6 linked regions of the Coturnix japonica genome follow. The protein of the gene in region 2 interacts with the protein of the main gene of each other region in a pairwise test. Links are inferred from orthologs where the notes say so. Each region holds a gene or a part of one and is shown on either strand. Other genes may lie near its edges. The genes, in order: CDC42SE1, CDC42, ARHGDIA, CDC42EP1, PAK3 and MYO9A.

The links.
Region 1: the proteins of CDC42 (region 2) and CDC42SE1 interact in binary tests that used the Homo sapiens proteins (3 or more experiments, as listed by UniProt). The link is inferred for Coturnix japonica from reciprocal best matches to the Homo sapiens genes CDC42 and CDC42SE1.
Region 3: the proteins of CDC42 (region 2) and ARHGDIA interact in binary tests that used the Homo sapiens proteins (3 or more experiments, as listed by UniProt). The link is inferred for Coturnix japonica from reciprocal best matches to the Homo sapiens genes CDC42 and ARHGDIA.
Region 4: the proteins of CDC42 (region 2) and CDC42EP1 interact in binary tests that used the Homo sapiens proteins (3 or more experiments, as listed by UniProt). The link is inferred for Coturnix japonica from reciprocal best matches to the Homo sapiens genes CDC42 and CDC42EP1.
Region 5: the proteins of CDC42 (region 2) and PAK3 interact in a two-hybrid assay, tested with the Homo sapiens proteins (2 studies listed by BioGRID and IntAct). The link is inferred for Coturnix japonica from reciprocal best matches to the Homo sapiens genes CDC42 and PAK3.
Region 6: the proteins of CDC42 (region 2) and MYO9A interact in a two-hybrid assay, tested with the Homo sapiens proteins (3 studies listed by BioGRID and IntAct). The link is inferred for Coturnix japonica from reciprocal best matches to the Homo sapiens genes CDC42 and MYO9A.

Annotation. Positions count from the first base shown.
Region 1 is NC_029540.1:2,207,383-2,212,855, forward strand, and holds the start of CDC42SE1 (CDC42 small effector protein 1), read right to left. Parts: upstream 3,414-5,473; 5' UTR 3,276-3,413; intron 1,629-3,275; exon of another isoform or gene 1,609-1,628; 5' UTR 1,507-1,608; coding exon 1,453-1,506; intron 1,366-1,452; coding exon 1,255-1,365; intron 1,060-1,254; coding exon 988-1,059; 3' UTR 985-987; intron 858-984; 3' UTR 1-857. Other genes in the region: MLLT11 (protein AF1q), read left to right, coding at 5,422-5,473. UniProt on the Homo sapiens protein: Probably involved in the organization of the actin cytoskeleton by acting downstream of CDC42, inducing actin filament assembly. Alters CDC42-induced cell shape changes.
Region 2 is NC_029536.1:5,530,743-5,534,700, forward strand, and holds the start of CDC42 (cell division control protein 42 homolog), read right to left. Parts: upstream 2,801-3,958; 5' UTR 2,677-2,800; intron 1-2,676. UniProt on the Homo sapiens protein: Plasma membrane-associated small GTPase which cycles between an active GTP-bound and an inactive GDP-bound state. In active state binds to a variety of effector proteins to regulate cellular responses. Involved in epithelial cell polarization processes.
Region 3 is NC_029533.1:4,453,750-4,458,031, reverse strand, and holds part of ARHGDIA (rho GDP-dissociation inhibitor 1), read right to left. Parts: intron 2,055-4,282; 5' UTR 2,035-2,054; coding exon 1,845-2,034; intron 1,510-1,844; coding exon 1,426-1,509; intron 820-1,425; coding exon 743-819; intron 571-742; coding exon 507-570; intron 44-506; coding exon 1-43. UniProt on the Homo sapiens protein: Controls Rho proteins homeostasis. Regulates the GDP/GTP exchange reaction of the Rho proteins by inhibiting the dissociation of GDP from them, and the subsequent binding of GTP to them.
Region 4 is NC_029516.1:46,737,322-46,742,269, reverse strand, and holds the end of CDC42EP1 (cdc42 effector protein 1), read left to right. Parts: intron 1-57; 5' UTR 58-438; coding exon 439-877; intron 878-1,509; coding exon 1,510-2,309; 3' UTR 2,310-3,667; downstream 3,668-4,948. UniProt on the Homo sapiens protein: Probably involved in the organization of the actin cytoskeleton. Induced membrane extensions in fibroblasts.
Region 5 is NC_029519.1:12,632,169-12,636,654, forward strand, and holds part of PAK3 (serine/threonine-protein kinase PAK 3), read right to left. Parts: intron 4,467-4,486; coding exon 4,418-4,466; intron 3,077-4,417; coding exon 2,964-3,076; intron 2,485-2,963; coding exon 2,367-2,484; intron 1,554-2,366; coding exon 1,454-1,553; intron 1,082-1,453; coding exon 885-1,081; intron 115-884; coding exon 1-114. UniProt on the Homo sapiens protein: Serine/threonine protein kinase that plays a role in a variety of different signaling pathways including cytoskeleton regulation, cell migration, or cell cycle regulation.
Region 6 is NC_029525.1:802,409-807,077, forward strand, and holds part of MYO9A (unconventional myosin-IXa), read right to left. Parts: intron 3,886-4,669; coding exon 3,762-3,885; intron 2,784-3,761; coding exon 2,730-2,783; intron 842-2,729; coding exon 639-841; intron 443-638; coding exon 300-442; intron 1-299. UniProt on the Homo sapiens protein: Myosins are actin-based motor molecules with ATPase activity. Unconventional myosins serve in intracellular movements. Regulates Rho by stimulating it's GTPase activity in neurons.

The sequences.
Region 1 (5,473 bases), on a different chromosome or scaffold from region 2:
TTCCAAAGGGGGGATAAAAAGTGACTCAAACATCTGCACTCACCAGGTGCAGCGTTGGGGCTGAGCAGCCCAGCATCACTGGGAGCACAGGGGAGGGAAGGGAAGCTCTGCTGCCCCGCTTGGCTCCGGCATCTGCTGGTTCCTGTTCAGCCCCGGCGCTATTTAAACTATGTACACGTGCACCTGAATTCGGAACCTGAGAGTCCCTCCTTCTTGGGGGAGCAGCTGGTGCTGGTAAAAGCCCAGCGGTAACAGGAGAGGCCAAATGGGAGGATTTTAGAGCTTTAAAAAAGAAACAAAACACAGAACAACCCCCTCCCCCCCAAAAAAAAAAAAATCCTAAAAAAGAAGGAAGGCGGAGGTTGGCTGGTGGCGATGCCGGCTGAAGGCTGGAGGAAAGGCAGGCTTGCTGGCAGCGCTGGAGCTGCAGGATGCCCAATGCTGGGGCTCTGGGGCTCTGTGATGCCTCCCCAGCTCAGCCCCTGCAGCACAACCCGCCCTACTGCGGTCCCAAGGGAAACTGAGGCATGGGGGGCAGCGCCGAGAGGGGCCCGTGGGAGACAGCGGTGCCAGCTGGGGTGTGGGGAAGGGAGAAGGGGGGGGATTTGGCACATGAGGGCTGTGCACGGCGTCTCCCGCTGTGGGCTGGGCTGCTCTGCTTGCCCCATAGGGAGGGACAGCGCTCTCCTGGCCGGCCCGGTGCCCCGGGGAAGGGGGGAGGATCTGTGGGGGATGACCCAGAGCCAGCCGCGCAGCTCCGCCTGCATAAGTTACCACGGGAATCAAGCGCTTGAGGTTGGCTTTTCCTCCGGTGTGGGGATCAGGCAGTTCAAGTTTGGGCTGAAAGAGCCAGAAATCTGAAAAGTTGGAGATGAGAGGTTACAAAACTGCCCAGCTCATTAGATGTGTTAATTAGCAGCGTGCTTTAGGTGGTGACAGCGGGCGCTCGGGGCTGCCCAGCTCCTGCCATGGCTGCGTACTCACATGCTACAACACACGGGAGCTGCTCCACTGCCGCTCCCGTCCTCCTTTGGACCTCATCTCCTGCACAGCACCCGTCTGCAGGGAGGGGAGAAACGTTTCACCACCACAACAAATTGTCACCAACCCAGCACCGAGCAGAAAACCCCCATCACACCACCCCCAAGGGCTCCCAGCCCCCTTGAAAGCCAGCACCATGCAGGGCTGAGATCACAGCACCCCCATGCTGAGCCCCACCACCCACCCTTGCTCACTGTCAGCCCCAGGCCGTACCATGGGCATCCCTTCGCCCGCAGCCATATCTCCGGAGCCGATGTGAGTCAGGTGCACGAAGTTCATGGGCTCACCAATCATGGAGCGGTCGATTCGTCTCCTCCTCTTCTTCTGCATAGAGATGAAGGCTGTCAGCCCCCCCTGCACCCAGGATCACCCCCCACCACCACCCCCGTCTCCAAAGCTGCAGCTACTCACAGGCTGTGGTTTCTCCACGACGCAGCAGCCCAGCTTGTGCCAGAAGTCGCTCATATTTGCGGTGCCTTCCAGCTTTGCTCCCGGCGGGGTGGGGGCTGCGGCGCTGCAGAGACCCCCGTGTGCTCTCACTCCATGGGAACGGGTGGGGGGAGGCACCTGTTCAGCAGGGAAGGCACCTGAGATGGGGACAACGAGAAGGATTTGTCCCCAAGTGGCACCGCAGCACAGGGGGGTCGTGCTGAGGGGTGTGGAGTCACCCAGGGAGGTACTGCAGGGAAACTGAAGTGCTTGGGAAGGGGTGGGGGCAGCTGCTGTCCTGACAGCCCTAATCTGAGCCTCAACATGCTGAGCAGACACCTATGGGCACACAGGGTGTCCCCTCTGCCCCCAGTGCAGGACAAGGAGAGGATGCTGCCATGGGATGGGGGCACACATGGCAGTGAATTGCAGCACCCCCTCCTCCCCCCCCCCCTTTAGAAAGGAGCTATAAATACAGCTGCCTTTCTGAACAGGGACCGGAGGTTGAGCTCTTCCGCTTCGGCTCAGAGAGCGAACGGGGCGGGGGAAGAAACAAACAGGAGAGTGCAACAAACAGCCCCGGAGTTGGGGGGGGGGGGGTGAAATGGAGGGGCTCAAGGTTGGGGGGATGGAGGGGGGGGCACAGCTCTGCTCTGCAGGACAGCCCGGCAGCAACTCAGTCTGAAGTCCAGCAGAGTACAACCAACACTTCTTGCCTTTGGGGTGGGCACCCACCAGGAGCCCCCTCCCCAAACACAGAGCCCAAAAGCCAGGCCTTAGGGCCTTCCCTTCCCTGGTTGTGGGGGGGGGACTGAGGGTGAGCTCACAGACCTCGAGGTCTCCTGAGCCCAACTGTGCAATGAGCTGCACCCGGCCTGTGTGCAAAGCTTTGGGGTCTGTGAGGGGAAATGGCACCAATGTCACTGGGGGCGTGAGGGGGGGCGAAATGCCTTCGGGCAGACCCAGGCCGGCACTCACAAAATGACTTCCCGGTTGGGAAAGCACCGCTCAGCCGCTCTGCGTCACCGAGGGGGGGGGAGGGGGGAATGGACGGATCGGGGCACTCCCACGGACTCCAGAACCCCAAAACTTCAATAAAAGGCCCGACCCCTCAACCCCCCCACGCTCAGAGAGGGCAGGGGGCTCTGATGGGGGGGGGACACACCGGATCGGGGGCTCAGGACCCCCAGGATGAGGGGGTGACACGGGAACCGCTCCCACTCTCCGGCTTTGGGGTGTCCCCTCCCTATACTCCAACAAGGTGCTGCCCAGGGGGTTCCCTCAGCTCACAGGGGTCGCGTTAGGGTCGGGGGGGGCAGGACCATGAAGCGTAACGTGGGCAGCACTGCCGACCCCCAGCACCGAAGGATCCTCCCCCCCACCGCCCCCCAAACTCCAACCGGGGGGCAGACGAGGGGGTGCCCCCCCCCAAACATCGAAGGGGCAGCGTTGGGGTTGGGGGCGTTAAGGACCCCCGCGATAAGGCATTCAATCCGCAGCGATCCTCCGTGCCCGGCCCAGCGAGGCCCGCTCGCCGTGGGGCGGCCCTATAGGGCCCAGCGGGGATGGTAGGGTGGGGGGCGGCTACGGAGCGCCCTACTGCGCTTCTCACCCCACCCCCCGTGGGGGTCCCACCGCACACCGCTCTCTTTGGGGGCGAGGGGGTTCATTACAAGGTATTTTTCGGGCCCTCTTCCGCCAGGCCTTCCTCACCCCCCCATCAACTCCTGTAGGCCTCAGCCCCGCTCCCTCCGCCCCGCTCCCCCCTCCCGGTGTCTCCGCGGCGCCCCCCGCCCGCCGCCCACCTGGCTTCGCTCCGCCGTGGTTCCGCAGCTCCGGGACGCCGCGCTGCCCCGCTGCCCCTCCGCCTCCTCCGCCTCCACCCGGCGCGGCGCGGCCCGGAGCGGCACAGAGCGGAACGCAGCTCCAACCCCGGACACAGCGAGCATTGCAGGCCGGGAGGGGGGGAAGGGGGGGGACACGGAACGGGGGGGGTTGTGGGGTCGTGGGGTGACTCGTGGGGGATGGAGGGAGATGAGGGGACAAGGGGGGGAGTTGGGGGGCACTGAAGGGGTTTGGGGGTACAGATGGGGGTTGGAGGGGATTTGGGGCCAGCAAAGGTGGGGGCTCAGCAGGGATGGGGTCCTAGGGGGGTCTGGCAGGATTTGGGGGGCAGAACGAAGCTGAGAGCCCCCACAGGGGGGCTTTGCAGGGCTGGGGGGGCACTGATGGGGCTGGGGGTCCTCGGGGGGCTGCAAAGGGTTGGGAGATCCCACAGGACAAAGGTGGGAGTCCTGGGGATCAGAGGGGGGGGGCTGATGGGGGTGGAAGGAGTCATTGGGCCAGCAGAGCTGGGGGTCTCAGCAGGGCAGGATGGGGGCCCTAGGGGGCTGCTAAGGAATGGGGGCACCCGGTGAGGATGAGGGGGGCCTGGGGGCAGTCGGGTCCCTGTAGGTGAGGGTTTGGGGTGCAGGGAGGGCTGGGGAGGCTGAGCAGAGCTGGGTTGGGGGGCCCGGGGGGGGGCTGTTAAGGATGGGGGGATCCCAGCGGGATTTGGGGGCTCAGCAAAGCTGGGGGTCACCCAGCACAGCTCAGCAGAGCCGAGTTGGGGGTTTGGGGGTGTCGGTAAGGAGTGGGGGTGGCTCTGTGAGACTTGGGGTGCCCAGCAGAGCTGGGGGGGGCTCATTGGGGCGGGGGGGGGGCGTTTCACTCAGGCTGGAAGCAGATGGAAGCAGCCCCCCACCCTGCCGGGCCGCTCACCTTTCTGCCTCAGTGTCTCTTTTCTGGACCAAAACTGAAATGAATCAAAGCAGAAACGTGTCAGCCGCACCCCGACCTGTGAAGCCTTTTGAGGGCCACGGCCCCCCCCGGCCCCCTCCCCACTCTTACCCACGGGCACCCCACAGCCTCATCTGCACCCCCCCATAAGGGCACCGTGCTCTATGGCAGGTGGGCCGCCTCCATCCCTCCATCATCTGTCCGCCCCACGCGGGTGGGGGCTGCTGACTCATCTGCCCACGCCCCCCCCCCCCCCCCCCCCCCCCCCCCCACTCCTCCCACCCCCACGGTGGTTCGCTGCGAGGGGCTGCATTGCAGACCCGGCTGCGCCAACAGACAAAAGCGACGCCGCAGAGCGAAGGTTGCGGAGACACAAAGAGGTTCGGCGACCCGCAGCCCCCCCCAAAGAGCCCAGCGCAGGTAACAGCCCTGATGGGTGGGTGGGGGTCCGGGGTAGGGGGTGCTCTGCGCTTTGGTCACCTCGTTCCAGTGATGTTCATTACAATTAGGGATGGGTCGGACCTTTTAGGGTTCGGGTTTTGGGGCGGGGGGGGGTTGTTTCTAGTGCTTTGGTGCTGGTTATTTTTCATCGCCATCGCTCCGGGCTGTGTCCCTTCGTGTGTGTCCCCCCCACCCTTCCCAAAGGAGGCGGCTATTTAAAGCGCTGTGCTCACACACACGCCTTTTGTAGCCCTCCCAAAGCCGTGGGGGAGCTTAAATATAGCCGCCCCCCTCCCCCCGCCCCGATATAGGGCTGGGCTCAGAGGGGTACCTGGGTCACCTCTTTGGATTCAGGGCATGAAATGGGGGCATATGGGGGGAGCAGAATGCAGTGGGGGGGGGGGGGGGGGGGGGGAGATGCACAGAGGGAAGCAAATGGGAGTAGAGCCTTTTGTTGGGGAGGGTCTCATGTGGGACCTGGCTCCTGTCCTCCCCCCTGCATGGATTCCCTTTATTCCTTCCCCCTCCATCCCCTCTATTCCTCCTCCCCACCTCAATCCCCTTTTTCTCCTTCTCCCTCCATCCCCTTTCCCTGCCCCCAGCTGTGGGGCTATTGGGAACCCCTGTGTGCAGGGTGGGGTGGGGGCTGCCCCCTCCATCAGCTACAGTTCAAGCTGGGGTTCACCCACTGATACCCCCCCCCCCTTCCTCCTCTCCCCCCACAGCGCCACCATGCTGGACACCATCAGCACTCAGTACGACTCCTTCATCTACTGGAGGATGC
Region 2 (3,958 bases):
GTCTCTATCATTTTGAAGTAACTTGTTTTCTGGATGAGCTGCTATGAATTACCAAGGGAGAAGCTCAAGGTGTCACCTCAAAAAGCAGCTCTTAGACTGATATATGCTATGCTTAATGCAACTTAAGAACTGACAGCTACCACACTATTCAGCAGGGCTCGTCACAACAAGCTGATAAGTGCAGACATACACAAGATAGGAAGTGAATGCAGCTGAGTGGGAGAATTTTAGAAGTCTGAGCTTAAAGCACTGCCAACATAACACCTTTTAAGTCCTACTACTTAAAAGAAATGAAAGAGTCAACAGCCATTGCACAGCCCTACATTCAAAACAAGCCTGGTCAAGCAGAGCGTGACTCAGTGGGCACAGCACAGCAAGGTTCCCATCTGCTCACTGCTCGGACCTCAAAGGAACCACCTTCACATGGACTCAAAGAAGAAGGCAGAAGTCATCCCACATTAAACCCTGAGAAGCACGGCTGCTTATCCCAGCTCCCCTCCCTATAGCCAGACACATTTAGAAGCACTACAGCTGACACTGGCAGCAGCACAGTGAGCACTTTTGCATAAGGGCAGCCACCCTGTGCACATCAGCTGCAGCACCCAGTGCATGGCTCAGCTGCTGGTGCTCCATGCGTAGGAACTGCCCCAACACTGTCTGCAGGAAGCAGCGTGCTTATCTCAGGCCTATCAATATCACTGCTGATAAAGGGATTATACTTTGTTGGGAATGATGTTCCAGAAGAGATTTCTCATTGATGCTTTCCACTCCACATTAAAGGAACTTGGATCAGAACCCATGGACACATGCATTCCAGCATAACGGGGTGACAGGAGCCATGGTCAAAGCCTACAGTGCACTAAGTGTGTAAGCAGAGCTCCTGCTACATACTAGAAACCCATATCGCTTCCTTTTAATGCAACAGCACCTCCATATCTGTTGGTTTTTCATCAGAAACTGAGTATTAAGTGTGAGGATAATTACAACCCCTATATACCAACACTCCTGAATTGGAGTAGGTTGACATTCATCATCATGCCTATGGATGGAGCCAAAGCTGGGCTGGCCACAGCAAGCAAGGACTGAGGGGCTGCAGTGTGCAAGGCTGTAGGTGACTTAAAAGCTGCATCTAAAGACACTTCTGGTACTGCAAGCGTGTTTTATCCTGCAGCTTTTATTCCTCAGCAAGGCTTTAAAATGCTTTGCGTCCTTATTACTGCAGCATATAAGCAGTAAACAGACCGAACAAAGAGTCGTTTCACAACTAACAATATTAAACACATTAACATATTGATTCATTCATGCGTTACCTGCTTCGGATGAAGACTTGCCTACACTCCACCCCATCATCTCACTCATTTCCAAGCCAGAACAACACATTTTCCACATATAAACACCTGAATACAAAGCCTTTCTATCTAAACTTGTTCCTGTGCAACAGAGCCAAGCTCCAAGTGCTTTACTGACTTACTCCCATTAGAAACACTAGAAACTTAACCTGGGTTTTAATTATTCCTCTAAAAAAAGGCCATTTGGGGTGCTCCAATGGAACACTTTGAATAAAGCCAGCATCTCTTTCACAGGCTGCCCAGGGAGGTTGTGGATGCCCCGTCCTTGGAAGTGTTCAAGCCCAGGTTGGATGGAGCCCTGGGCAACCTGATCTATGGGGTCTCCTGGGCAACCTGATCTAGTAAATGTGTATGTTTGGTGGCCCTGCCAGGCAGGGGGGGTGGAACTACATGACCCTTGAGGTCCCTTCCAATCCAGGTCATTCTGTGATTCTGTGATTCTCTTTCTTTATGGTAGAAGTAATACAAACAGATGCAATCACAGACTGAACTACTTTGGCCTGCACGTCTATCACAGCCTCTCATCCAGGCCTTGCCTTCATGGTGCTCAGTCTATATGGTTAGATAGCAGTGCTGGCTCTGCAGCCTGCAGGCAGATGGGGCAGGTACCATCCTTATCTCCCCCAAGCACAGATTCCACACACACCTGGGCCACCACCACCATCAGCTTACAAGAAAAGCTACTATGAAAGGGGCCACACTATATTTCATCTCAGAGAGCTCAAAGATGGAAGAGAAATCCCCCCCCACATCAACCCTCCAAGCACAGCAGCCAACAACCAGCCATATACATCAACGGGACGGCGGATGACCCAGCACCTGGGCGAGACAAAAGCCGGGCAGCGCCTCCCAGCTCTTTATAGGGAGAAGGAGGAGAGGGAAGGGAAGGAAAGGAAACGTTCGGCGGTTCCTAAAGCAAAGCCCACACCCCAACTGCGCCTCGGAACTACTTCAGAGCTGGGCGGCGCTCCCGGAAGAAGCACAGGCCCAACCTGCGGCACCGACCTCCGGCTTCCCCTCCTCCCTTGCGGGGCTCACAACCCGCAGGGCCCAGCGCTCCGTGCCGGGCGGGGGGCAGGACGAGGAGGAGGCCGAGCTGGGCCGCGTAGGCCGCGCTCCCCCCCATACACACACACACACACACACACACCTCAGCCCCGCTCTGCGCCAACAGCCCCAACCCAGCGGCGGGGAGGCCCCACACACACACAGCCCGCACCCACACGGTCCCGGTTCTCCGCCCCCGCTGTGTGATGGCGGTACAGAGGCGCGGTGCAGCCCGCACACCCGCCCGCCGCTCCCGCCCCGCTCCGCCGCGGCCGCTCACCTCAGAGTCTCCGCCGGGCGTTGGCGGCTCGCTGCGGGGTCTCCTCGGCTTCAGGCGCAGGGGCACGCTGCGGGTGACGTCATCGCGTAGCGCTGGGAGGGGGGACGCTGCGGGTGACGTCATCGCGTATTGAACGAGAAGGCGGAGCGCGCTTCCGGTTTGCTCAGTCGAGGCCTGTGCGGCCGGTTGGGTCGGAGGGGCGATAAGGCCGCTATGTGGGTCACCAGCAGGGTTAGTTAGAGCCCAGGCCTCTCCCAGCCGCTGTTTGGTGCCTTGTTCCTAATGCAACTCCCACCCTATGGACCCAAAACTGCATTAGGGGCAGGCTAAGCCAAGAAGAGGCAGCCAATAGGCCAGAGGCACTTAGGGACCCCCCCCATAAGCTTTATCAGGGACCCCCCATAAGCTTTAATAGAGACCCCCCATAAGCTTTATCAGGGACCCCCCCCATAAGCTTTATTAGGGACCCCTCCATTAGCTTTATTAGAGACCCCTCCATAAGCTTTATCAGGGACCCCCCCATAAGCTTTAATAGAGACCCCGCCATAAGCTTTAATAGAGACCCCTCCATAAGCTTTAATAGAAACCCCTCCATAAGCTTTAATAGAGACCCCTCCATTAGCTTTAATAGAGGCCCTTCCATAAGCTTTGTGAGGGACCCCACACATAAGAAACCACAAGCAGAGGCAGCAGCCATCACCCCAATCCTTTGTACATCAGCTTACAGTTCTTAATGATGGGAAACAGATAAAACTGGGGCAGGAACACCTTCCTCCCAGAGAAGCATAAATCACAGGTCTCCGATGTTGCTGTAATTAGCACTACAGCCCATGCAGTAATTAACTTTCTCCCATTCAGATTTAATAACATGCAGTAAAATAAGACCTGGGGTGATAACACATGCAGGGGGGGAAGCACCCTATCAAATGAGGCACTTGTGACTTGATAAGGAATTAATTATAGCCTGGCCTAATAATAACAACACATTGCTTTTAATTTGCCCAGTGCTCTGAGTGAGGGAGGGTGCGCTGGGAAAAGCTTCTTCCTAAATCCTACAATGACTCTGAGAAGATTTCGGTCAGCCAGAGTGAAGCTCCGCAGGATGGGGCTGGGCTGATGGCAGCGCTGTAACAAAAGCCTTGTGGGCAGATAAGATGCAGATGAGCTGAGGGAGAATCCAGGGCTGCAGCATCCCCATCTTCAGGTCTCAAGCCAGGCACCAAAACCCCTTCTTCTGCTGCAGGGCATGGGTCAGGAGGAGAACTACTTGGTCTAAGGTGAA
Region 3 (4,282 bases), on a different chromosome or scaffold from region 2:
GCTCGGGGCCCATAGCTCCCAACCATGTATTCAGTCTTGTCAACTACGAAAAAAAGAGGAAGAAGGAAGCTATTTAAAAGCTTCCAATGTATTTGGGGCGAGGCTAAAGCAAATGAAAGGTCTACGATCACTACAATTCACAAACAGCAAAAGCAGCTGTAAGAACATCACCCACATTAACAGCTCCACTCATTCCAGAAACAGCTCCTTCCAGAAGGAGCAAAACCCAGCACTCGTACTGCTGTCCACACAGCAACAATCTGTTCAACTCCAGTCTCCAGCAGTGAGTGCACACCAAGCTCAGGCACAGCAGAGCCAGCACAACAGGTGGCTCCCTGCAGCACAGCCAGAAACCTCCACACCTTGCCACAGTGGAGAGTTTGCTAAAGAACATCTCTTTCCACTTTGAGTTGCTGGGGTACCCACACAAAAGCATCCATCACAGCAACAGAAAGAGCAGGAAGCCCTCACAAAAAGCAGTACCTAAAACACAGAGAAGCACTTACTTTTCACTCCTTTCCGGAATGTGTGCTGAATATACTTCAACCCTGACACAATCTCCCTGTTAACCTGCAGAGACAAGCAAAGACTGTCAAAGACGGATCTCCACATGCTGCCCACCCCACCCACTGCAGGGAAATATTTCCTCCATCACACCTATTTGGGGGCCCTATGATGGAGTTGCAGTGATCGGGTGCTCTAAATTTCACCAGTTGTTCAGTTTGCAGATCTGAATCCTTACCCTAAAGGAGATTTTTATCCGGTATTCCACACCTTCTTTCAGCACAAAAGCTTGCTTCTTGTAGCTCTCCAGGTCACCTACACAGAAAGTAAACAATTGCTCTGAGTCCATTTGCATCGTGCTTTGGAAAGGATTTCAGCTATAAAAGGTGAAATGGAAAGTATCTGCAGCAGGGGACTGGACCCTTACTGGTTGTACAGCATGCATTTTATCCTTTTATTCTTGCAATTCAGGACTCTCCTTGATATGCTGCTTGTGCTACTTGAGGTGGCCAAGTGCTCCCCCAAGAAAGGGAACTGCAGCATAACAGTGCACTTAACTCAAGGATGTTCCTTTGTAAATGTCTGCTCCAAAGCTGTCACCATCTTGAAGCTGCTATTAGTGCGGCTGTGCAGGCTGGAGGACGGCTGGCTCCCCCAGCTGGCAGCTCAGACATTTATAAAACTAAGGCATGCAATATAGAGAAAGCTGAAAGGCCTTTGCTGAGATAGGGCTGCTGAGATGCAAGCTGAGGTGGGAAATCCTCTTGACCACGGCACCTGGCTCTGCATCCAGCAAAGAGGCATTTTGGACATGCAGGTGAGCTGCCCACCACAGCATCAGTGCCTTGGCAACACCTCCCTGAAGACCCCACATTAACCAGCGTTGACTCAGAGAAGGGCTGCTTTTGTTTCCCAGCCTACCTGTCAGGTCCAGCTCCAGAGGGCCAGGAGCAGTAGTACAGACCAACGTCAGTTTGGTCACCACCACATTTGGAGCATTGGGATCTAGAAGACAAAAATAAAAGGCTGTTAAACAACTAGCCCTTGTACCAAGCAACTCGTTTCCCCTTCCACGGAAGTTCTTGAAAGAGTGAGAAAACCAGTGAGGGCTCCAACCTGTGTGATTTACACCCAGCCCACACACTCTCCCAGAACATCTCCCTCAGAGGTCAGAAAACAACCCCTCAGTCCCACTGCTTTATTCCAGGGGCCACTGAATAGTGGCAGACACTGCCCCTTGTGCTCCTGGCTATACTCACACCAAGTCACAAAGAGCTGGGGAGAGAACAGCTCCCAGACAGGAGCAGAGCTGAGGCCGGGGAGCCAGAGGTGGAGCTCACCTGCAGTCACGGTGACAGCACCGAGCAGTGCCTCCTTGTACTTGCGCAGACTCTCATCATCCTTGTCCAACTCCTGGATCTCCTGGATGCTCTTCTGGGCAGGTGGCTTATAGTTGACGGAGTGTTCGTCCTCCTCATTCTCAGCTGCGATTTGGGCCAGCTGCTCTGCTGTTGGCTCCTGCTCTGCCATCTTCACACACGCGAGTTACACTGAAGCAGGGAGGAGACGTTTAACTGTAGCTATCTGCTGCATATTGGCATAAACCAGCCATCCCAAAACAGCCCTGACTCCACAGGTCCCTCTCCCACCAGGTTCCCCACTCCAGAGGCACATTGCTGTCAAGGACCTGTGCCCCCCCCAGCCTGCCCTCGGCAGCCAAGATCCCATTTTCAGCCCTTACAAGAGGATTGGGAAAAGTAATCAGCCTCTGTGCTTTGTTCAGCAGCTGCAACAGAGAAATAGCCCACGCCATAGAAAAAAACAACTCCTCCACATGAACAGCTCAGTGATGCTTTCACTTGCAATCAGCTTGAGCCCAGAATAAACCCAGTTCAGTTCTGCTTCTCCATAGTACAACCTGGTGAGGAGAAGAACAGGCCCAGCCCCACCGCTGGCCCAAATGCCAGAAGCCTCAGCTGCAATCTGGAGCTCACAGTTTGTAATTCAATCAGAATCTACAATGGAAGGAGACACCTGGCTCAGCTGACCTCATCCTGATCCTTTCCAAAGATATGTGTCACAGAGCTGGGCAAACACATGGGTTGAAGACCGGTGTGTAGATTGGCACTGCTTTGTAAGCCCCAGAGCACAGTGTAACCAGGAAACACCCAGCTGAGAGCTGGTCCAACAGCCATCAAAACACCAGGAAAAAGTGTCAGTAATTCCTGATGCATCACAAGGAGTGCTGCCCTACGGGTGATCCTACAGCAAACATCAGCTTGGACTGCTCTGAGGGCTTAAAAACACTCAGCTGACAACTTTTGAAAGGCTTCTCAGACAAAATCCTCCACAAATGACGTGCAGATGGATGCAGGTATTCCCGTTATTACCTGGCATTTCCACGTCCCATTCTGCATTCCTGTCTGGAGTCGTGTATCAGCACACATGACTCAGACTGGAAAACTGCATTCTTTGCTCTGCCATCCAGTTTCCAAATAAATCAACACTATGATCTTAATTCTGATCTCCACGTGCCCCCACAGAAGACCAGGATACATCCAGAAATGCTGACTTGTAAAGGAAAACCCAAAGTCTGCAGCACAGGCTATGCTACGTAAGCCAACTGCTATTTGCTCTTCTCCTCTTGGAACTAGCTGACATAACAGCCCTTAACTCAACGACTTCATTCCTACCCAATGTGTCACCCAGACAGGGAGAGAAAAACCTGAGCGCTGGCACTGAGCACACACAGCTCACAGAGCACATTGTGCAGTGACACAAGACAAGTTGTGTCTGCCTCCATCTTGAGCCTGGCGACAGCTGCAAGAGCACAACAGCAGAGGTATGTGTAGATGGTGTTTTTAGCCATAAATATTAGGAATGTTCTGCCAAGGAGACAAATTAGAGTGATATGTTGCACATCTCTGCCTGATGACTATGGCTGATCCAGGGTATGAGAGCGGCCTCCAGCACAGCACCAGGGCTGTAGCTCAATGCTGGCACTGAGATGAGGTGCTGTCAGATCCCGTGTGGGTGAACCCCCAGCCAAACACAAGAGCAAATCTGAGCTGCCCTGGGCTGGCAGCACCTCCCAGGGAGGCTGGGGCACCAACATGGGTGCACAAAGGGTACTTGCAGCGGGCATCAAAACCTGACTGAGCTCTACCAGCAGAAAGGGATTCTCCAGGTCCCTGGCACTGATTGCCATGGAAATTTACATTCAAATCTTATGCCATACATGAGCAACCGAGTAGCTCTCACCCTAGAAAATCCATATCGAAACCAGTCATTTCCTTTAGGCTCCCATCCAAGAAAGCTTCCAGGCTTGAAGGCTCCCAAAAGTGTTCAACAAACACTCACTCAAGCATTTGTTCCAGTGCTTAATCTCATTTTGCCCTCAGTTTCAGCTCCAAGCCAGACTTCACCCCTCCCCTCCCTCCCCCACGAGCACCCCATGGAAGTCCATGGGTGAAAAGTGGCTCTTCAAACTGACCCAAAGTTACCAGAAACAGCAAGCAATGTTCCAAACAGCAGCTCAAGACAGGCTGGGTCTCAGCTCTGCAAGGAAGCACAGGAAAAATGTGCAGCGAGGCCTGGAGGAGCCTCATGGAGCTGGCTGCACCACAGCCCCTCTGCTGCAGTGTTCTGATGGCATCGTGCTCCCACTGCGCCCGGCTGACCCTGCTCCCAGCACACAGCATTGTGCAGCCTCACATCACAGTGCTCAGCTGCTGCCCTGAGTATTCTGCCAGGGAGAAAGGAGGCTCCCAGCAGCATC
Region 4 (4,948 bases), on a different chromosome or scaffold from region 2:
AGTGAGTCTGTGAGAATCCTCTCCAAGGGCTTCACCTTCCTTCTTTTCTTCTTTAAGGAATCAAGGAGCTCTACCTGCCACGCTGCAGCTCCCAGCACCCAACTCTGCACCAGCTTCCAACATCAGATCAGCTTCCAGCAGCATCTGGGGTGACCACAGACCCTCTTGGGGACACGTGCTTGCCACCACCATCACTGTCACCGGGTGAGAAAGTTCCCTGAAGGGATTCATCCCTGCCAAGGCTACAAGACATCCCCACGCTGGGTGACTCCATGAGCGTAACGTAGGGCAGGGACACGGATGCAGGCAGCATTGCCACCAGCTCAAAGCCAAGGCAAGGCGAGTCGCTCCCCCTGGTGATGGGGATGTGACGGGCCATCCCGTTGCTGGAAACTGGCCTTTGATTCTTTGGAAGGCGAGGAAACAAGGAGGATCAAGATGAGCCTGGGGAAGCTGCCAGTGCTCAGCTGGGTGTCGGGCTCCCATGGCAAGCGGCGGCTGAAGTCGGAGCTGACGCCGGACATGATCAGCCCACCACTGGGGGACTTTCGGCACACCATGCACGTGGGGCGTGGCGGTGATGTCTTTGGGGACACCTCCTTCCTCAGCAACCATGGTGGGGCTGAGCCAGCCAAGGCCAATAACTTCTTTGCCCGCACGCTGCGGCACGTCCGACGGACACCGCAGAGGAGACGGGGCAGCGGGAGCAGCCAGGCAGGGGCATCACCTGAACCCCCGGCCATTTCACCCATCATCAAGAATGCTGTGTCGCTGCCACAGCTCAACGAGGCAGCGTATGACAGCGACAGTGGTTTGACCAGCAAGTTCTCCTTCAAGAGTGCCTCAAACAGACTCTCCAAAGCACACCAGACCTACGGTGAGTGCAGCATTGGGGTGGTGGCTAGGCCCCAGCTGCCCTTATGTCCCACTGTGGCAATGCTCATGCCACGGCACAGCCATCTCCACCTCCATACTGAAGCCCCCAGCAGCCCCCAGCTGTCCCAATCCCTCCATCTCTATCTGTCCCTCGAGGGTCTTCATCCCTCCCTTTCCTGCTGTTCATCCCACTGGCCAGCATTCAGAAAGGCCCCATTTGGAAGGGCTGTGGATGGGTGGATGGGACAGCCAGGGGCTGTGACTCAGCTTTTCTCCAGGGGCTGAGGCAGAAGGTTTCAGGAGGGTCTGGGTGCCTGTGGCAACCAAGGGACATGGCTGGGCTCAGAGGGAAAGGCAAGCTGAGGCAATGCTGCCATCTCCTGGTCCCACCCACCCGGCTCCATTCCCATCAGCCTTTTACCGTGCCTGCTGCCCACCAGAAGACCACAGCTCTGGGCTTTGGAGATAGCACCCTGGGCTGCACTAGTGTGATGTCACTGGGCCCTGTAAGGGAGGTAACCTGGCCGGTGCCACCAACCTGTGCTGGCATCAGCATCCTTTGTCCCGTGGCCATGTAGGCTTTGTTCCACCATAGCACTCTGGCTGTGCTCATCAACCGACACTTCTTTGCAGGGCTGGAGTCTGGATTTTGCACCATCCCTCGTGTCCCTCGCCTGGAAAAGGCCCAGGAGAGCACCTTCCCTGGGGAAGAAGAGCTGGAACGCTCAGACTCCCTGCTCTCCTTCCGCCTGGACCTGGGGCCCTCTCTCATGAGCGAGCTCCTCCAGGTGATGAGCTTCTCTGAAACCAATGGGAACGAGGTAGCAGAGGATGGCCGAGACCCACCTGGCAGCTGTGTGCTTCCACATGGTGAGGGGACCAAGGACGGAGTCCCTCCAGGACCAAACACATCCCATGGAGAGCTGAAGGCAAAACCCAGCTTCTGGGACAACGCTGGGCAAGCCAACTCACTTCTGGGATTGTCCATCCGTGCCAATGGAGAGGCACGTGCCATTGAGCAGCGCAAGGAGGACCCAGCACGAGCCTCAGGGCTGGGGGCAGTGCCCGGAGGGACCCTATGGCAGGGGCACTGGAACGACTGCTCCATTGAGGCAGGGGAGTTCGAGCGGGCAGCCCAGGTCCTGGCTCGCCATTATGGGGGGACAAGCACCCCACGCAGCTCAGAGAAGGGCGAGGGTGCTCGGCAAGGCTGGACACGGGCTGCCTGGGAGAGCCCCAGCAGCAACTCATGGCGGCCACAAGTGTCAGCAGCCAGACAGTCTCCAGAGGACACCTGGGACCAAGGAGAGGAGGAGGATGAGGAAGACGAGCTCCCCAGCCTGCAAGAGGGGCACGTTGGCACCCGGGGGGGGCGCAGCAATTCCTTTGAGTATGCCGACGAGGAGGAGGAAGACGATGAAGTCAAGGTGTGAGTGGCCATCCCACCATCGTGGCCCCACTCCCAAAGACATTAGTGCTGCGGTCATCACACTCCTCGTTACCCCCCACCTCTGGTGACAGACCCAGCAGGCAACTTCCTGGCCTTCACCATAGGGCAGTGGAGTATAAGGTGGGCAGAAGGGGGCCCCATCTCCTGCAGGACCCCCAGGTCTGGCAGGGTGCTGCAGGGATGGGTGAGGGCCGTGCACTGCAGTGTGCCATGCTACAGCCCTTCCCCTTCCCCATTAGGTGCCAAAAGGACATTCCCGTGTGCCAAAGAAACCCTTGAGCCCCTTCCCACCCCAGCCCACATCCCCCCACAAGCAAACAGCTTGCTCAGGAAAGGAAGCAACAGTGACAGACAGGAATCAGAGAGAGAGCTCACAGACACTGAGCTTGATCCCTGATACAAAGCCCTGCCCCGAGAAGGCAGTGGTGGCCATGGAGGTGGCAGTGGCTGCACCAGGCACCCAGCCAGCATTCCTCTCGGGGGACCTTCCCCTCACCTTATGCTGCTGGACATCACTGAGGAAGTCTCTTTGTCCAACCCTCGCAGCAAGGAGGGGGAGAAACGTTGTGGTTTGCCAGAGGTGAGACTGTCTGGCTTCCAAATACTGCCTTAAAAACTCCCTTTCCCTTCAACCCACCTCACAACAAGGAGACTCCCTCTCTGCAGCCATTATTCCCCACCCTCATCCCTCTACCCACCCCCCCCTCACACACACACACACACCCCTCTTTGCAGAGTGCCTTGTCTCAAGGACATGCATGGAGGATGCTCAGTGCTGTTCTCTGAGCATCCCCGGGTGATGGAGCCACCCTAGGACAAGCGGCCTCCATGCCACCCAGCACAGAAGCGCCTTTGTGCCGTGGTGTGGAGCCGAGATGTTTGGGGGCTGAGGTCACCAGAGGGACCCTCACAGCACCCTCCTTGTTCTCTGGAACAGACGGGGGTGTGCAGTGGGGGGAGATGCCATTGGGTTGCGCTCCTACGTGGCTCACCCACTGCCCAGTCCTTTAGCAGAATAAAGAGGCTCCAGCATGCACGTGCTGTATGTGGGAGCCAGGCAGTCATTGCAGGCAGGTTAAGGGCAAGCCCTCCTCCCTCAGCACCCCCAGAGCAGTGCCAGCACGTTCCCAGTTCCAACCACCAGCACTCAGCAGGGCCATGCAGGGTCAGCATCCAGCCTGTGCCAGGGAGACGGCTCTCGGGATGAGCTCCCTGTTCTCTGCTTCTTGGACTGTGGTACAGGCTCCAGACCAAAGACCCACATCTGTGGAACAGCCTTTCTGCCTCCACTCTGTATCCCTGCACTTATGATTGTCCTTATTAAAGCAGTTTTGATACTAACTTCTCTGGTGCATTCCTCCCTCAGTTGTAGTGACCTTGGCATCTTCCCTTGCCACTTTGGTCCCAGCCACTCTGATCCCAGCACCTCTCCTCCTATGGAGAAGGCTGCAGTGAGGGAGCTTATAAGCAGGAGGTGGACTGATTCTACACAGTGTGATAGTGATAGGACAAGGGTGAATGCTTTTAAACTAAAATAGGGAAGATATAGAACTGATGTTAGGAGGAAAACTCATCTCAAAACCACTCAAAAAAAGAGTGGTGAGGTGCTGGCACAGAACGTTCAGAGAAACTGTGGGTTCTCCATCCCTGAAGGTTCACGGCCAGGTTGAATGGGGTCCTGGGCAGCCTGAGCTGATAGGTGTCATCCCCGCCTATGGCAGTGGGGAGGAACTGGATGATCTTTAAGGCCCCTTCCAACTCAAGCCATTCTGTGATTCCATGATTCATCCAAAGCTTTCTGTTTAACATAAACATCGCTTACACATTGACCAGTGAGGGCAAGGAGGTGATGCTTTTCCTCACATTCAGCCTCCTCCTGCCCTTCCTCCCAGCGCTGTTAGAGGCACTGCAATCTCTCTGCTTCCTCATTTTCTGCATATTTCATTCTCCCTCCCCAGGGACACTGGGAACAGGACTGACCCAGCACACTCCAGGCCTGCCTGCAACTGGCATGATACTTCTTAATTAGATCAGCAGCATCAGATAATCAAGCGCTAATAGCCTGAGGTCCCATGTGAGAGACACAGGTGGGAGCTGCCTAACCCACCTAAAAACTCTCCTCCTTCCCTACCACTCTCCCCTGCCTCACTTTCCCTCCAAAAAGGCAATGTTGGAGTAATGGGTAACTCATCTGGAATGCACCAGCAAATAAGTGAGGTGAGATAAGGGGAAAAGCCAGAGACAACCCCTTATCACTGCAGGAATGCCAGTATTGGGGCACGCCTGTGTTCCCATCCCCACATAGCCTGGCATTATACCAGCAGAAGGGCACACAGCCCTTCCATCTATCTATCAAAGCAAGCAGCCAAGAGGAAATGGTGAACAAATGCCCTGAGGTTCCCAAACCTAATGTTTAATTATGCACTTTTGTGGTACCAAATGCCACATTTTTCACATCAGTGCTTTTGTTCCCCTTCCTCCCCCACCCCCTTCCAAAAACGTGGGTGCAAGAAGAAATGGTGCATTGTGACGAGGCTCAACAAGCATTCCCTGAGCAATCATATCCTATCTTCCTTTTTCTCCTTCTCCTGAACCCCACCTCCAGCATGCTTTGCCCTGTGC
Region 5 (4,486 bases), on a different chromosome or scaffold from region 2:
TCTCCTGTCCACATCCATCTCCAGGCAACAGTTGAGAAAGTCACGAAACACAGCAGAGAGTCTCTCAGGGTTCTGCAGCTCTGGTGTCCCATTTGTAGCTATCAGATACAGTGCCTGGGAAAAACAGAAATGCAAGACTCCACCTGTTTCCAAGAAGCCCCAGGAGCATTTATTCAGAAAGAATACAAGACCAAAGTCTGTATATTTGCCATCTGCATTTCTTAAATAGCATGGCCAGGTACTTGTTTGTAGCTGTTGTTTGCTCTTTCAGTCTGCATCACAGAGTCTGGGTGCCAGATGGAGTGCAGCCTTGCCACTGTGAGAGGAACTAAGGGTCACGCTGTACATCAGTTCCAGCCTTCACAAAAATCCTGTCTGTACATAGATGCAAGATTAATTTCCTCAGATCCCTGTCTCCTATCAGGAGATACCTGTGTAGCACTTATCTGTTTATCCATTACGAGTGTTTCCCTTAGTATACATTCCTCCCCTCTTACAGTTTAAGAGTTGGTATAAATCAAGGTAACCCATCTACGCTGACTTGTGTTTGGAAATACTTCTGCCTGCTGAGAGAGCCGAAACTTTTTTCATACAGATTCATCAGCTGGAGAAATTTGCCACAGGAAAATCCCTGTCAGAGATGGAGCTAACAGGGATTTCACAAACCGCCTGAGGAATTCTGCATCATTAACACAAAACCAACACATTGCTGAACTGGCTCCATGCTACCGCTCTGTTAGTGCTCTGCCATGTTGATGTGCTCCAGTGACATTTGTACCAGCTGTCCTTGCTGGAACCAGTTCAAGCTGATGTAACTGGGATTTCGTCTCTAAACATGGGACAGCTTAAAAAGACAGCGGTGTCTGATTCTATTTGTACCTTACCCTGAGAGGATTTTCATTAAGGTAAGGAGGTTCTCCTTCCACCATTTCTATTGCCATGATCCCAAGTGACCAGATGTCAACCTTGGGGCCATATGCTTTTCTTGTCACTACTTCGGGTGCCATCCAGTAAGGAGTGCCGACCATTGTGCTCCTTTTACTCTGCTCGGGAGTGATCTGAGCACAGAAGCCAAAATCAGCTGAGGACAAAAACAAGTGTTGTTAAAGCCATCTAGAATTACAAAACCAAGAAAAGAGATCCCCACGTTATGCCTAAGAACGTCTTGTTGAACCCAGCTGGAAAAGGGGTCACGGCTGTTTGCTCTGCGGTGACTTTTACACACTCAAGACTTCAGATGATAAACTCTGGTCTCTGCAAAGGGCATGCACAAAAAAAGGCCAGATATTACACCTTCCTCCTTTTCATATTCCTCCACATGTGGGGATTGTGCTCCTAGCTTGTAGCAGTGCTCAGTACGCTATCACAGGCACTCCTGTGTGTAACTGGCAGTCAGTCAGATGCAGCCCTGCACCCCATCCCGAGAAAGCTGTGCTTGGCCAGGAATACCTACTCAATTTGACAGATCCATCCATTCCGAGAAGAATATTGTCGCTTTTTATGTCTCTGTGAATCACTTGGTTTGAATGAAGGAAATCCAGCGCTTGCAGGCACTGATAGATATAAAAAAAACACACACACAAGGGTAAAAATTAATGACCTGATTTCATCACACAAGAGAGGAAATGGCTATAAAAGATTTAATTTCTAGAAGAATTGACAGTAATGGCAGAATAGTGCGTTGTCAGAAGAAATAGCTTGCTGCTTCAACACCACCAGAATAATAACCTTCTAAATGAAGGCACATTAACTTTGGGAACAGAAACGCCAGTTATTGTTACTGCCTGTCCCCTGGAAGCACAGACCGAATGAGCGCTGTTAAAATGGATGTGCCATTCGTGTCCATTTGACAAACTGTTATTTGCCAAAAAGAAAACGTCATTTTCAGAAGGAAGCGGATCACTTTTGGGTGGAAGGCTGCACGACAAAGATGTTACTGTTACGTCCTGCAGCATATTTGGAAATAACATGTTAGTCACTTTTCAGAAGCAAATACCACCTTGGGTGGAATACTCCCCTTTTAAGCTGAGGACTGTGATAAATGAGTCTCTTATTTTCCTTATTATTTTAAAATTCTGCCTCCAGCACGTCTGCTTTTACAGGCGAGGGATGCAGTGCAGACATGCTCCAGATCAACGCTGGAAGAGGCAAAGCTGAGAACAGTAGAACTTAGAAAGAGAGAAGAGTGTAATTCCAAAGCATGGGGCGGTGATCCTGGCAGGCGGTTTCACTAAACACACTTTTCTTCTCCCATATTAAAAAAGCAACATAGAAACAAAGATCTGGACACACCACTCACGTTCTTCGCACCTGCTTAGAAGTACCATTCTGTCCCGGTAATCAGAAGTGCAGTTGGGATCCCTTACCTCCCTACAGACAGCTGCTATCTGTCCTTCATCCATACATGTCTCTGTAACAACATCAGTTAGCGAGCCTCCAGCCAAGTACTCCATAACCACCCAGAGCTCATCACCTACTAAGTAGCTGAAAGAAGACAACAGCAGATTTCATTAAGATGAATGTAACTAAATCATCTTAGGAAAATTACCGCAGTTATTTTTCTTAACAGTTCATTTTTAAATGAAGACAGAATAACAAGAATGGATGTTCCTTCTAAGTCATGGTCAACAGTTTGGAAAACCTTACATAAATACATCCAGAAATAGGGAAAACAGCTTAAAAACTGGCAAATTACATGTGTCTGGAAACAAGAATCTTGTCTGTCTGGCATCCACAGCAATGGAAAACAGCCATAAAAGCCAAAGAGAATAATTTCTATGGTGATATATTTGCATTATATGCACAAAATATGACCAACTTAGAAACAGGGAGGTCATGGAGCTCCAAGCAGTTGTTTTAGTAAGGTAGGGCTGGTCAGAATATTTAAAAATACTCTCAGAACAACATATTCCACCTAAATAAGCACAGAACACTGCACTGGTGACAAGACCAGAATCACTTACCTGTCTAAATAGTTCACAATATTGGGGTTCTTATTTTCCCTCATGACCAGGATTTCATTAATAATTAGTTCCTTTTTGGGTTGTTGTTGGAGATTCATTTGCTTTATGGCCACCTAAAATGACAGTGGAAACAATGCATCAGCTCAAATAGTCTGTTGCACAAGATCAGAACCAACATGGAGTGTTCTTGGAACAATGTATCAGAGCTGTGGCAAGGGGTCTTGTTATTAGGCACTGGAAGTCAGTAAGGCAAAACACCCTATTTCTGTGCTTGCTTGGGTAACACTTTGGACACACAGTCATTATATATATATATATATATATATAATGCATATGATATATAGGTATACCTTGCCTTATAAAATCTGTAAAAACCATCTTTAGACTATCAACCACAAATCTCTAACACTCTCCATGCTTATGTTCCTCTAAGATGGCCTTAACTTGTTAACCCCATCGTTATTCTTTGTGCACCTTCTGCAAGCTACACATGATTTTAATACCATGAAAGTACGTAAAAACTGTTAGAAATTTTTAATAATTATATATACTCCGGATAAATTGGGAACGAATGAGAGCAACGTCCATTAGCTGTTGTTGCATCCAAGTACTGGGCAATGAAAACAGGGTGCCCTTCTCTGAAGGACGGCGCTTTCTTCTCTGTGTTATTTCTGGCTGTTCTTACAAATTGTGCCCAAAAGCAAGCAATGCAACGCAGCTATTTATTCCTCACAGCAATAGGGGAAACCGTGACCACCACTTGGGTTCCCTGAGGCCCGTGGTCACAGATCTTTGGGTTTTACAATTGGTATTGCTAACCAACTTATGGCCAGGCCCAGAGGCAGTCTTTAGTACAGAGTTAAATCACACTCAACACATTCTCATTCATCAGCTGTGTTTGGGAACAAAGAAATTCGGAATATTTCTAACCTAATGCATTCACATGGGTAACAAAAACATTTTTTAATCAGGCCTGAAAACCTTAGAGATGTCTAAAACATCCACTGAGGGATGACAGACTAACAGTACTGGGATGGGACCAACACCACCACCGAGAGCACTGACCTGTCCTGAAGACAAAAGAAAACACATCACGTAGGACTGCCCTTAGACGCTAAAGGTGAAGCATCAGCTCAGGCACAGACAGTGCCCAGGGGGACCAGGACTACCCTTGCCCAGGAACTCATCAGCACCTCCACTTAATGGTTGCAGGAGAACAGACAGCCCAGGAAGTGTTCAGTTACAGGGACAGAAAACCACAATGCTAATAAAAGGCTTTCTCTGAGAAGCTGAAGACAGCAGCTGATGCGCTTTGCAGGCTGACACCAGTCCATGCTGAGGAGGAAGAGCCTGTGCGCTACAGACCTACAGGCACCCTGAGAACCCATCCCCAGCTCCTGCCAGAGGGGAAAACACTGAGTGCAGCAACATCAGCTGGGGAGGCTGGGGCTTACCTCTTGTCCTGTGGCGATGTCTATTGCTGTATAAACAGTTCCTGATGCCCTAGAAACAAAACAGCAACC
Region 6 (4,669 bases), on a different chromosome or scaffold from region 2:
GCAGAGAGAGAACCCAACCCAACCCAGATGAGATGTTCCCACCTCCACCACATCACATCGTGCACAAAGACATCCTGGTGTCCAGGCAGTAGGAACAACAACCCGAGCACCTGGGACAAGACACCTAAAGAAGCATTAATCTCCCCATCCACTCAATGGGCAGAATGATTTACAGACCCTGGGTGTTTTAATCATTAAGTAACACCAATCTCATTAATTCAACTACACTGCTCTATGCAGAGCTTTGCTGGGGAACAACTGCATTGAAACTCCTCTGATCACAGGTTCTATTGACTCACCTGACCGATCGGAGATGGCTCTTTCAGAGTCAAAGTTCAGGTTTTCTGAGCTGTCAGCAGTGCCGATGGAGGCTTCCGACTCGAGCGTTTCATCATCAGAGGCACGAGGCTCCAGCGTCAGCATCTCAAATGTCAGCTCCTCCCTACAAAACCCAACCCTGTGACCCAACAGGACCAAAAAAGGGGGGAGGAAAGCAAGAGGCATGCAAAGAGTCTTCCAGCTCAACCCATGAGCAACATGCCAACCCCAGAACCAACTGCCATCACGCCATCCCCAAGTTGAACCTCTAGACAGAAGGTGCAGAAGCAAGCAAAGCTTCAATTCAAGGGCAGACTCACTTCTCCTTCTGCAGGCTTTCGATCTGCTCAGTCAGCACCCTCTCCTCCTGCTGCATGGCTGCTTGTTGCTGCTCTGTCATGTCCAGCTCCATGGCCTCCTCGCTGCTCACAGTCTCCTCGGGGACGTCAGACACAGAGGGCAGGCGCATGGCCACAGGGGATGTAGGGCTGGGGTAGGTGCCGCGCCGCACGCGGCCTTTGCCCTGAAGATAAACATCAGTGTCAAGCAATGATTATTTTGCACAGCCTCTTTCTGGGGGGTTCCTCCTCCCTGGCACAAAGGGAGCTACAAGATACAATGGGATGATGCAACACAGCAGGTTTGAGAGGTCTGCTAAGCAGGTGGAAGAAAGCATGGCATAAAAAAAAATAGGTGAGAAATAGTTGGGGAACAGCAAATAAACTAACGGTCAAATAGAAGAGTCCTGCATTTTAAGTAGTATTTAAACTTCTGATTATGAAAAAGGACTTAGATGGGAGTATTATAGATGAAGAAATACTGCAAGTGCAAACAGCCTCTGCTTTACCTTTGGAGAAGCTACTCCACAGGGTGAAAGAGAAATACCAGTTTTTGGACACAGAGGATGCTGAGGAGTAGTGTGCTTTGTGGGCACGCCATGGCCATTAAAAAGATTTCATCCTAACTGTTGCCGTAACTGAACACAACTCATCTCCTGAAGTCAGGATCCTGAACTGGTCAGAGTGAAAGATGAGTGCAACACGAATGCAACCTGAAAAACCCAGCACTTGCCTCTGCTCCACCTACAGGCTGCCCTCTTCCTTCAAACAATTATGTTTCTTGGTGAAACTGAATTCCCTTCTTGCTGCACTCTGCCTCATTCATCAGCTCATAGGCTGCTTTCCTTCCCACAGGGCTATTTCAGCACTGTAGCTGAGGTACCCCTTGGTCTTCCTCACAACCCACATGCCCAGAACATGGGAGAAAAGCCTCAATTTTTCAGTTTGAAAGCAAAACGCTATCAGGAATGCAAGCAGGGATCTTTCCTTGAGTGGCAAAGCAAACCTACATTGACATCAACGGGACACGGCTCAAGTGGGAGGCAATGCTGAGCACTGCTTCCCCCTGCAAGGTCTGTTAAATCCTACAGCCCCGACAAACACTGCTGCTCAGCACTAAGACATGAGATTTGCTCCATTTTACCGTTTCATCTCCTGCTGTTGCACCTGGGAGATCTTTCACAAAGGAGCTTCCGCGCACCGCAGCAACGTTCCTCTGATGCCAACCTCATCACGTGGGCTGCTGAGCTGAGGCACAGCCACCTGAATCCTATTAGCAAAAAGCCCTGAGCTCCCAAAGATCCCCTGTGTACTGTGCCTCGTGTACTGCTCTCCCTGCCTATGGGGCACTCAGCAGTGAGCGGATGCTGCAGTGACGACATCCACGTGGGCTTTCAGCAAAGCCCTCTCTTCTCCCAGCTGCTGCAAGTGGAAAATTCCCCGGTGGGTTGGATGTGGGTTTGGTCATAGTGCTTGCATGTCCAACGCTGGCTCGAACGAGGATGGCAACAACACTTTTTTGATGGTAAGAGTAGGGTTTGCTCTAAAAGAAGGAGCTTTCATGGTCAAAGGGGAGTCTGCTGCTGTGGTGGCTCAAGCCATGACAGAGTGGTGAGGTGCAGGGCTGCTGCATCCCCACATCCATCTGAGGCTGCCCTGACCATCAGGGGTTCAGCAGCCTGGCTGCCCAGAGCATTTCAGTAGATGCCATATGATGACTATGGATTCACCCACCGCAGCCAAAGCAATGGCTTCACCGTGCCTAAATACATCCCCAGCAGGAATTGTGGATGGGAGCAACATATCAAAGAAAGCAAAAGTTAGGAAGGCATAGAATGGAAAAAGAAAATTAAGAAGTGATGGTGAAAGCAACTTCTCGCAGAGCTGCATGCAGGGGTACAAGCCCGGCAGATTTGGCTGCTGCTGCTCTTGGGCATCCCAGAGAGCCACCTGCAGGGGGACAAGACAGGCAATGTCACAGACAATGGCCGGTGGCACAGGGCTGGAATGAGCAGCGGTCACACAGAACGGAGGGACACGGCTGGCACAGAGCGCTGTGCAGTGAATACATACCGGGATTGAACTGCGGGTTATGCTCATAAATCTAACTGCAATTAGTACGGGTTTCTGGATTAGAGAGGACATGAAAAGGAAAGCAGAAGGTTAGAGCGCACATGCCATTGTCCCTCCAAAACAACTGTTTTTTGTTTGGTTTTGTCTTTTTCTAAACCAAGATGAGCGAGGCGTTTCCCTGCAGTATCGGTGCCAGTGCATGGCCGAGCCCCAAGCTTGGCAAAATGACCCCAGAGTTGGGCCAGACCTGCCCTGAGGGCCACCGCGGGCAGCTCAGCCCCACAGCATGGGTCTGGATCAGGTATCTCCTGATCCCACAGCCAAAAAGCCACACATAGCATCAGCAGCCCGCTGGTGTGCTGGGGCGAGCAGGACCCAGAGCAAGCTATTGCTCACCCTGAAGCATGGAAGCTCAATGAGATGGTTGGGGAGCCTCAGGGAGCTCAGTTTGGATTCAGGTCACGTTAGTGAGCTCATCAGCAGCACAAAGAGGACAAGGCCAGTGGTTATGGACTGCTTCAGTCCAGGTCTCCCTTGCATTTGTGCATGGCATGACAGCAAGGTAAGCAGAGGCTGGATTCAACCCAAATTGCTCAAACGTGCAAGATAAAGACTGAAATGTAAACAGGAGCCTCCAAGCTTGAGTGACTACATTTCCACAGAGCACTCTCTCAGGCTTCTTTCCCATCGCCTTTGCTGGATTCCCTGAAAACACAGGGAGCTGCCATGGGTCTGGGAGATGTGCTGCCTGGGGTGGGATGGTTTGGGAGGTGCAAGGGGCTGGGGAGGCTGGAATAAGCAAGGAGAGGTAAAGCAGGATTGCTTCAAGTGAAAGGAGAAGAAAGAAGAAAAGAGAGGTGACTGTGTCAGAGCCAGAAAGTGGTCTGACTTTCCCTGCAGCAAGACAGACGTTCTCTGTAGCTATGATGGATGCACCATGGGAACACCTGATATCCACTTTGGTGCAAATTCCCTTGTAGAAGGAAAGGGGTCACGAGTCTGTGAGCAGCAGGGGCTGGTGCAGCATCTCACCATTGACCTGCGGATCAAGGAGAGGCGGCTCTTGGCTTTGTTCTCAGCAAACTCCAGGCTGTTGATGTCCTTGAGGCGAGCCTTGTATTTGTTCATCTGCTCGATGACAATGAGTTCTACACAGCTGGGAGGCAAGGAAAAGACAAAACAGAAAGTTTTTACTCGAGCTGTCTCTGCCTGGTGCAAAGATCTGCTCTGCTTGAGAGCTTCAGCATGCAAGGATGCAAAGAAAAAGACCAAGGAAATTCCCTGAGAACAGCGACAGAATGCACAGCTCCAAAAGCAATGTCTCCTGTTTGTTTCCATGGAAACAAATTTCCATGGGTCAGTACTGTAGCTGGTCCTGTTTGATATCTTTATCAGTAATCTGGCTGAGAGGACTGAATGTACCCTCAATAAATTCACCAATGACACCAAGATGGGAGGAAGTGTAGGTTTGCCTGGGGGCAGGAAGGCCCTACAGAGGGATCAGGACAGGCTGCATCAGTGGGCTGAGGCCAATGGGATGAGCTTCAACACGACCAAAGGCCTGATCCTGTGTTTGGCCATAACAACCCCAAGCATTGCTACAGGTCTGGGGCAGAGTGGGTGGCAATCTGTGAGAGGAAAAGGGGTATGAGCTGATAGTCAGCTGAGTATGAGCCAGCAGCGTGGAATAATTAGGAAAAATTTATTCTCAGAAGCAGTGGTAATGTGTTGGAAGAGGCTGCCCATGGAAGTGGCGAAGTCAGCATCCCTGGAGGTGTTAAGGAAAAGGGTAGATCTGAGAGACATGGTTAGTGGGCATGGTGGGGACGGGTTAACAGGTGGACTAGATGATCTAAAGAGTTCTTTTCCAACTTCAATGATTCTATGATGTTATGGTCAAGATTAACCCAAACTGTAGCATGCACAGAAATGTTCCACCT